Linked DNA regions of Macaca mulatta. The protein of the gene in region 2 purifies or fractionates together with the protein of the main gene of each other region. This does not show direct contact. Links are inferred from orthologs where the notes say so. Each region holds a gene or a part of one and is shown on either strand. Other genes may lie near its edges.

Evidence for each region.
Region 1: the proteins of RPLP2 (region 2) and RPL30 fractionate together in Homo sapiens (co-fractionation; 3 studies listed by BioGRID and IntAct, with this or other methods). This does not show direct contact. The link is inferred for Macaca mulatta from reciprocal best matches to the Homo sapiens genes RPLP2 and RPL30.

The regions. Positions count from the first base shown.
Region 1 is NC_133413.1:108,419,586-108,424,061, forward strand, and holds the start of RPL30 (large ribosomal subunit protein eL30), read right to left. Parts: upstream 2,829-4,476; 5' UTR 2,791-2,828; intron 2,683-2,790; 5' UTR 2,651-2,682; coding exon 2,630-2,650; intron 2,372-2,629; coding exon 2,226-2,371; intron 183-2,225; coding exon 52-182; intron 1-51.
Region 2 is NC_133419.1:702,989-707,330, forward strand, and holds the start of RPLP2 (large ribosomal subunit protein P2), read left to right. Parts: upstream 1-1,466; 5' UTR 1,467-1,508; intron 1,509-1,702; 5' UTR 1,703-1,703; coding exon 1,704-1,826; intron 1,827-3,375; coding exon 3,376-3,424; intron 3,425-3,459; exon of another isoform or gene 3,460-3,593; intron 3,594-4,342. UniProt on the Homo sapiens protein: Plays an important role in the elongation step of protein synthesis.

The DNA.
Region 1 (4,476 bases), on a different chromosome or scaffold from region 2:
TTAGAAAGGCAAAAAAAAAAAAAAAAAGACTTTATGATTTAAAAAGCATACCTGGATCAATGATAGCCAGTGTGCACACTCTGTAGTATTTTCCGCATGCTGTGCCCAGTTCAATATTATTTCCACTGTAGTGATGGACACCAGTTTTAGCCAACATTGCATAGTACTCTATTTCAGATTTCCTTTGGGAACCAAAAAAAGGCAAATAAATAAATGCAATACCAAGTGACTGACAGACTAAATGTTACTACTTCTTTTACTAGTGTTAATGTTCTTAAGGCCTTCAAAAAGTAACAAAATCACATACTACCCTTAAAAACATCATATTCATTATCCAATATAAACCAACATTTATATGTATCCTTTGCAAGTGAAGGGGCAACCAGCAAATATCTACTCAACCCCTAACATGTTTAAGACAGTATTAATACTCACAGAAGACGGTAGGATGCAAATAAACAAAAGCAAAGCATTATTTGTGCAGTGGCACGATCTTGGCTCACTGCAGCTTCCACCTCCCAGGTTCAAGTGATTCTCCTGCCTTAGCCTCTCAAGTAGCTGGGATCACAGGCATGTACCACCACACCCAGCTAATTTTTTGTATTTTTGGTAGAGATGGGGTTTCACCATGCTGGCTAGGCTGGTCTCGAACTCCTGACCTCAAGGGATTCGCCCGCCTCGGCCTCCCAAAGTGCTGGAATTACAGGCATAAGCCACTGCACGCAGCCCTATTCTTTTTTTTTTTTTTTTAATCTAATGAAACTGAGCCACAGAATAGTAAGTGGAGGATCCAGAATCCAAACCTTTAAAAAATAAGCCATTTCTATCACTATCCCCCATTGCCCAGAATTCTAGACAGGGAGTGACACCGTTTTAAAGTTAAAATTTCTGGCCTCATGCGTGTAATCCCAGCACTTTGGGAGGCCGGATCATTTTGAAGTCAGGAATTCCAGATCAACCTGGCCAACATGGTGAAACCTTGTCTCTACTAAAAATACAAAATTTCAGCGTCAATTTAGTAGACACTAATGGTTTTAGGAATCGGAAAGGAGTCCTATACTATCTTGCCACTCAATTATGTAGATCCACATACCAGCAATAGTGCTACAATGTACTAGTTTAAAAAGAACCTCAAGCTGGTAGCTCAGGCCTGTAATCTCATCAGTTTGACAGGCTGAGGTGGGTGGATCACCTAAGGTCACGAGTTCGAGACCAGCCTGGCCAACATGGCGAAACCCCATCTCTACTAAAAATACAAAAATTAGCCAGGCATGGTGGCGGGTGCCTGTAATCGCAGCTACTCAGGAGGCTGAGGCAGGAGAATTGCTTGAACCTGGGAGGTGGAGGTTGCAGTGAGCTTAGATTGTGCCACTGCACTCCAGTCTGGGTGACAAGAGCGAAACTCTGGCTCAAAAAAAAAAGCACCTCGGGCCCCATCCCAAATCCAATGAAATCAGAACTTGCATTTTAACATTACCCATGTGACTCCTTTGCACAGTGATGTTTCAGAAGCACTACTACAGAAGACAGGCTTTAAAGTTTCAAAGAATGTTTGGGAAAAGCCCAACCCATGGGACGAGACAGAAAGGGCCCTCCAGGCTTTGACAATAACTAGACACCCTATATAAAACGCTGTAAGCAGCTTATGCATTACCACAGAAAATTTGGTCACATGGTTTATATTCTGCAAGGTCCAAGTTTCTTTAGCTTATTTACAACACCCCCTAAGTTCAATTTCAGAACAGTGAGTCAAGCATAAACCTTGACTCAGAACTGATTTAGTGGGCTAAACTAGGTGATTCTATGATAGCCTGCAACGCCATGGCCCAGCCTCAACTTTTCTTACCTAGTTTTTTGACAATAAAACAGGTTCACACAATGAAGCATCATTAGACACCTCAAAGCTAAAAGAACCAAAAAAGCAGAACACAAAATATATGGAAAAAACAAATAATGTGTCTGTGCTTCCATCAAACCCCAATGTCCTGTTTTCACTCCTCCTGCCACACACACGTTTCTCCCCCAGAAATAAGCTCACAGAAGGGGAGCACATGATTTGGGGGTGGGTGGGGGAGACGGCAACGAAGGGCCAAACACCACAATCGCTACCATAATTATCCTGCAAGTGTTCGAGTTCATGGTACTCAGATTACAAGTTTACTCTCCTGTATATTCGTTCACGATGAATTCGCGGTAGGCGACGCTCGTTCAGGTTCTTCGATTACCTCAAAGCTGGGCAGTTGTTAGCGAGAATGACCAATTTCGCTTTGCCTTGTCTGATCATCTTCAGAGTCTGCTTGTACCCCAGGACGTACTTCCCACTTTTCATAACGAGTTGGAGCCTAGAGTTGATCGACTCCAGCGACTTTTTCTACAAAGCAAACATTAAACACGGACCTAAGGGCCTCGTCTGCAACCACTTCAAAACTGGACCCAGCTTTTTGAAGCCAAGCCTCTTAACTTCCGAAGTCGAGGACCCCCAAGTCATTGAGAGGGCCACTGGGATTCCCTCTGGGGCCCTCCAAATGCCAGCAGACATGCTGTCACCCCAGTGGGCTCACATCTGCCCGCCCCGGCCGAGACATCTCTCCACGTGAATCGGCTTCCGGGCCTGGCCCGCCTCACTCACCGTCTTCTTTGCGGCCACCATCTTCCTGCCTCAGGTGCGGGACGGCCCCCAAGCTAGAAGAGACAGAGGACAGGACAGGAAGTTTAGGATCCGGAGTTCCAAATGGCAACCCGCAAAGCTCCCCGCGCTGCCTAAACCTTGGTCAGCAGGAGCCCACTCACCAAAAGCAGCCACTAAGATGGCCGGGGAGCGAGAAAGGAAGGAGTTCCCACAATGCAAAGCTCTTCACGGCAGAGCCGGAATTGCAGGACCGGAAGCGGAAACAGATCGCAAGCAGAAGGGGCGGAACAAAAAGCGGAGGGCCGCTGCGGGTTGCTATTGGTACCGCTAGCTAGAATGGCTGCGGGAGCAGTACGCGGCGTCTCATACCTTTAATCCCAGCACTTCAGGAGGTCGAGGCGGGAGGATCTGTTGCGTCCAGCTCAAGGCCAGCCTGGGCAACATAGTGAGACCACCCCCGTCTCTACAAAAAATAAATAAATAAATTAGCCGGGCGTGGTGGCGCGCTCCTGTAGTCCCAGTTACTCCTAGCTCCGCCGGAGGCTGAGGCGGGAGGATCGCTTGAGCTCTGTAGGTCGAGGCTGCAGTGGCCGTGATCGCGCCACTGCACTCGGCCTGGGCGACAGAGTGAGACTCTGTCTCAAAGAAGGGAAAAAAAGAATGGCGGCGGGGGTGTTCGCTTTCCCTCTTTGCGGGCCTTTAAGCTTCTCGGCGTTGTGTTGCTGTTGGTCTTGGAGCTGCGATCTAACGAATCGAGGAGCTTAGAACCCGGAGGGAGTTGGAAAAGCAGACTGAAGGTGAGGTGGGAGGGTCGATGAGAAGAGGCTGCGGCGGCTGCGACCACGGTCTTAATGCGACTGAATTCACCTTTTCCCTGAGGCGCGGCTCTTGGAGAGCCTTGTGGATGACTCCGCTGCGCCGCAGCCCCCGCATTTACTCTCCGCTTGGTAGAAGCAGCAGTGTCCTCACCCCTGCGGTCACGCAAGTTACCTGTCCCCTTCCCCTGGAGAGCTGTGGCGCCCTGCGCGAGTTTCCCAAAATTCGCCTTTTGTGTCTGTGTTAGCGTGAACTTGTGAGCCGAGTTTGCACTGAGAGCGCGAAAAACAGGTCTAATTTTTAAAAAGTATTTCTGCTGTTAACGCTGGATCTTGGTATAAATGTCCAGAGACAGACCACTGAAAATATTAGGCGCTGAAAATCCCCACCTAATCAATCAGACCAGTGGGTAAGCTACGTGAGGGAAACCTCTTCCCCTCCTTAATTAAGCCTCACCAAAAAACGCGTGCTGTACCAGGAATCATTTACATATATGTATTTAATACTCACAAAATTTCCATGAGATAGTAACCCTTTTATTGTCCATTTTACATATCTAGGGCTGTTGTCAGAGCTAGGACCAGAGCCCAGGTAACTTAGGTCTCTTCACAAAGTTGATTCAGGCCGGATGCGGTGGCTCACACTTGTAATCTCAACACGTTAGAAGTCCGAGGTGAGCGGATCACCTGTCAGGAGTTCGAGACAGTCTGGCCAACATGGTGAAACCCCTTCTCTACTAAAAATAAAAAAAAATAGCCAGGTGTGGTGGCTCGTGCCTGCAATCGCAACTACCTCGGGAGGTTGAAGCAGGAGAATCGCTTGAACCTGGGAGGCAAAGGTAGCAGTAAGCTGAGATCGGGCCACTGCATTCAACTGCCTGGGTGACGAAGCGAGACTCCGTCTCAAAAAAAAGTAAAAAGGCCGGGCGGGGTGGCTCACGCCTGTAATCCCAGCACTTTGGGAGGCCGAGGCGAGCGGATCACAAGGTCAAAAGATCGAGACCATCTTGGCCAACATGGTGAAACCCTTTC
Region 2 (4,342 bases):
GCCCATGTCTCAACAACACTGTCTCTACCAAAAAATTTTAGCCAGGTGTGGTGGCACAGGCCTGTGGTCTCAGCTAAGAGGCTGAGGTGGGAGGATCACCTGATCCCAGGAATTTGAGGCTGTAGTGGGCTGTGATCCAGCCACTGCAGTCCAGGCTGGGCGACAGAATGGGGCCCAGTCTCAAAAATTACAAAATTAAAAAGTCACATTGTTCGCAAGATGTTTTCCCGCCTTTATCCCAGATGTGTGACCTCGAGCAAGAAAACCTTTCTGTACCCAACCGCCTCATCTATAAAATGGGGGTAATGACACCGAGGCCACAGAAGGCGACGGTGAAGTCGAGTTCCAATGCTTGATGTATACACATCCCAGGGTTTGCACTGCTGTTTGAGCCCCACGGGAGCAGGCGCTGCCTGCTAGCACCTTAGGTACCTGCATCTGACCCCCTGTTCCTGGTGCTAGCCCCGGATATTGGCAGGGTTGGCTCCTTATCTCTCAGCTTAGACTTTCTCAGGCTGCCCAGACCAACTCGCGCTCTGTCCCTATCCCTCGGATCGCCCCCTTATTCACCTCCTGCGTCCTCGCAGAAGAACTGAAGTCCTTAGAAGGCACGGCCAACCCTGTTCCCTCCCAGGACCCGAGAATGTGGCAGGGTCCCCTGATGTGCTATGTCCACATGGACACCAAGGTCAGTTCTTGGCCGAAGCGGCCAGCGCAGGGGCTGACCGCTCGGACCTCACTCCTCCCAGGGGTGAGTGGGCGACGCTGCCTCAAGTCATTGTCCTGCCCTCCAAGGTTCGCGCTCGTCCTCTGGCAGGACGCCCTGGCCCCGCAGGACGGGGGTGGCCTCCCAGGTAGGGCTGCAGTCGCTAAGTCCGAGGCGGCTGGCTCACCTCACTGAGCCCGGCTGGACATGGGGCCACCGGTCGCCGCGGCCAGGGAACCACCAAAGAGTCAGGGCGAGCCTACCGCGAGCAGCCCCCGCTCGGGCCCACGTGCCGTTCCGCGTAGGCCGGCGGCGCAGGCCACTTCCGGCAGCGGTGCACCATGGGACTTGCAGTTCGCGGGCGAAGGTTGCGTCCGGGGCGTGGCAGCCGCGCTGCATGTTGGGCGCTGTAGGCGCCGCGTGGCATGCTGGGAGCGCTAGGTACCGAAGGCAGATGCCGTCCCTTTGGGCTCGCTTCGTCCGTCGCCACCACGAGTTTCGGGGGACCTTCGCCCCACGCTATAAGAGCAGCCACTTCCGGAACTACTGGCCTTCGCCTGTGCCGCGGAAACTGTCTTGACGGGGCCGGGGGGGAAGTGTCAATGGCTTCTCCTCCATCGTCATTGGCTGAGCGCCTCGTGACGCCATTCTGAGGCGCCTCATGCGGCGCCCCGCTCGGGTCCCGGAGGCTTCTGGGTAGCGGTTTACCCCCGCCCCTTGCATCGGCGCCTTCCTTTTCCTCCCTGACACCGCCGAAGTCGCACGCGTGAGGCCTCTCCGCCGCCGCCGCAGACGCCGCCGCGTGAGTGTGATGACCCGGCCCGGGGTGCGGGCTGGGGACGCGGGGTCCGCGGGCATGCGAGGTGGGCGGCGGGGTCTTTCCGGGACGGAGGCCTACTGGTCTAGCCACACGCGGCCTCGTCCGGCGGCCCCGGGGTGGGCAGGCCGGAGGCCACCGGGATAACACCGCCGTCGCGCCCTCTCCGCCCGCCTCAGAATGCGCTACGTCGCCTCCTACCTGCTGGCTGCCCTCGGGGGTAACTCCTCCCCCAGCGCCAAGGACATCAAGAAGATCTTGGACAGCGTGGGCATCGAGGCGGACGACGACCGACTCAACAAGGTAGCTGCCGCCCTTGCCCCGCAGCCGCCGTAGAGCGCCGTACAGGCGATTTTTCTGCCTGATCCGGCCACATGCTGGAGGGTTCGGGGAGAGGCTTGTTTCAGTCCAGTCGGCGATGTCTCGGGTAGAGAAGTAAGCAGGGTGGGGGCCAGGTGCAGTGGTTCACGCCTGTAGTCCCAGTACTTTGGGAGGACGAGGCGAGCGGATCACCTGAGGTCAGGAGTTCGAAACCAGCCTGGCAAACATGTGGAAGCCCCATCTCTACTAAAAATACAAAAATTAGCCGGGCGTGGTGGTGGGTGCCTGTAGTCCCTGCTACTTGGGAGGCTGAGGCAGGAGAATCGCTTGAACCCGGGAGATGGAGGTTGCACTGAGCCAAGATCATGCCACTGCACTGCAGACTGGGCGACAGAACGAGACCCTGTCTCAAAAGGAAAAAATAAAAAGCTGGAGGGGTACGAGGCAAAGTCGTGATTAATGAGCTTTGGAAGTTTAATACAAGTGAGATGCATAAGATTCCTTAAAAAACAAACAAAAAAGGCAGTCCTGGCGAGTGGCTCACCCAGCACTTTGGGAGGCCAAGGCGGGTGGATTATTGGAGCCTCGGAATTCAAGACTAGCCTGGAAAACATCATAAAACCTGGTCTCCAGAAAAAGTTGAAAAAAAAAAAAGTTGTAGGCAGTGGTGCACATCTGTAGTCTCAGCTACTCAGGAGGCTGAGGCGGGAGGCTCATTTGAGCCTGGGAAGTCAAGGCTGCATGGAATAGTGATGGTGCCACTGCAGTCCCACAGAGCCAAGCCCTGTCTCTAAAATACAATTAAAAAAATCAAGGCCGGGCGCGGTGGCTCAAGCCTGTAATCCCAGCACTTTGGGAGGCCGAGACGGGCGGATCACGAGGTCAGGAGATGGAGACCATCCTGGCTAACACAGTGAAACCCCGTCTCTACTAAAAAATACAAAAAATTAGCCGGGCGAGGTGGCGGGCGCCTGTAGTCCCAGCTACTTGGGAGGCTGAGGCAGGAGAATAGCGTGAACCCGGGAGGCGGAGCTTGCAGTGAGCTGAGATCCCGCCACTGCACTCCAGCCTGGGCGGCAGAGCAAGACTCCGTCTCAAAAAAAAAAAAAAAAAAAAAATCAGCCAGGTGTGTGTGCTCACACCTGTTGTCCCAGACTGAGGTGGGAGAGTCGCTTGAGCCCGGGAGGTCAAGGCTGCAGTGAGATCCCACCACTGCACTCCAGCCTGAAGTCAAAGTCAGTTTCATTGACAGCTTATTTTGCCCGTGTTGAAGATACCTGTGAGTAGTCAACATTAAGCGGTGAGACATCGTGTGTTCCCTTCTCAGTCCTAAGTCTAAGAAACCTAGTGTCCATTTATTTTTATATCACTTACCAAGCGAGGGTGGTGGCTCCCTTTGGGCAGTGCAGGTCTAGAAACTTCAGGGCGTATTCCTCTGTGGGGGACCCAGTCCTGCTGTGATTCTGGAAGGGATAGGGCCAGGGATACATTTGCACTTTCCTGGTAACAGCTGTGTGATTATCTGCTCCAGGTTATTAGTGAGCTGAATGGAAAAAACATTGAAGACGTCATTGCCCAGGGTGAGTTGATGTGGAGGGGCTTTCATTTGTTTTCATGGTCCATCCTAATCCCTGCTGGTCCGTCTGTGGCCTGCCAGGTTTCGCTTGTGGACCAGAGCACCCTAGAAGCCTCACCTGAGGAGTGAGCAGGGCTCCAGTGGGCTCATGTCATGGGCGCTTCTAGACACTCCCAGGAGTAGGGCAGCAGGGGGCACCCTGTGTTCTCAGTGGACGTTTAGGTGGCCCTGCCTCTGAAGCTTGGTGTCTGGAGAACTGAGTTCATGTCAGCAGTTCTTACCGCATGCTTTCTGTGAAGGAGCTGGGGGCAGGGACTACGGGTGCCAGGGATGTTCACAGGCTTCTTGCCTCTTTGTTGGGCAGATGGTTTTTTGTTGGTGTCAGCTGAGCTGGTGGGAGTTGTTTGGAAGTTGAGCTGTTGGGGCAGCTGTTCCTGTCTTCCATGCATGTGACCAGGACAGGGCTGGCTCAGCAAACGGGCCAAGCCATGAGCACATGGCTGTGGCCAGAGATGTGGACACTGGAGCAGCATGCTCATTGTCCAGGCCGAGCATGGTGGCTCACGCCTGTAATCCCACCACTTTGGGAGGCCGAGGCGGGCGGATCACAAGGTCAGGAGATGGAGACCATCTTGGCTAACACGGTGAAACGCCATCTCTACTGAAGATATGAAAAATTAGCTGGGCGAGGTGGCGGGCGCCTGTAGTCCCAGCTACTTGGCAGGCTGAGGCAGGAGAATGGCGTGAACCTGGAAGGTGGAGCTTGCAGTGAGCCGAGATTGCGCCACTGAACTCCAGCCTGGGCAACAGAGCAAGACTCTGTCTCAAAAAAAAAAAACAACAACAAAAAACCATGTTTGTCCAACGGACATCTGAGGGTGGAGGTGGGGAAAGTGGGCAGGCAGGTAATGTGGGCCTAATT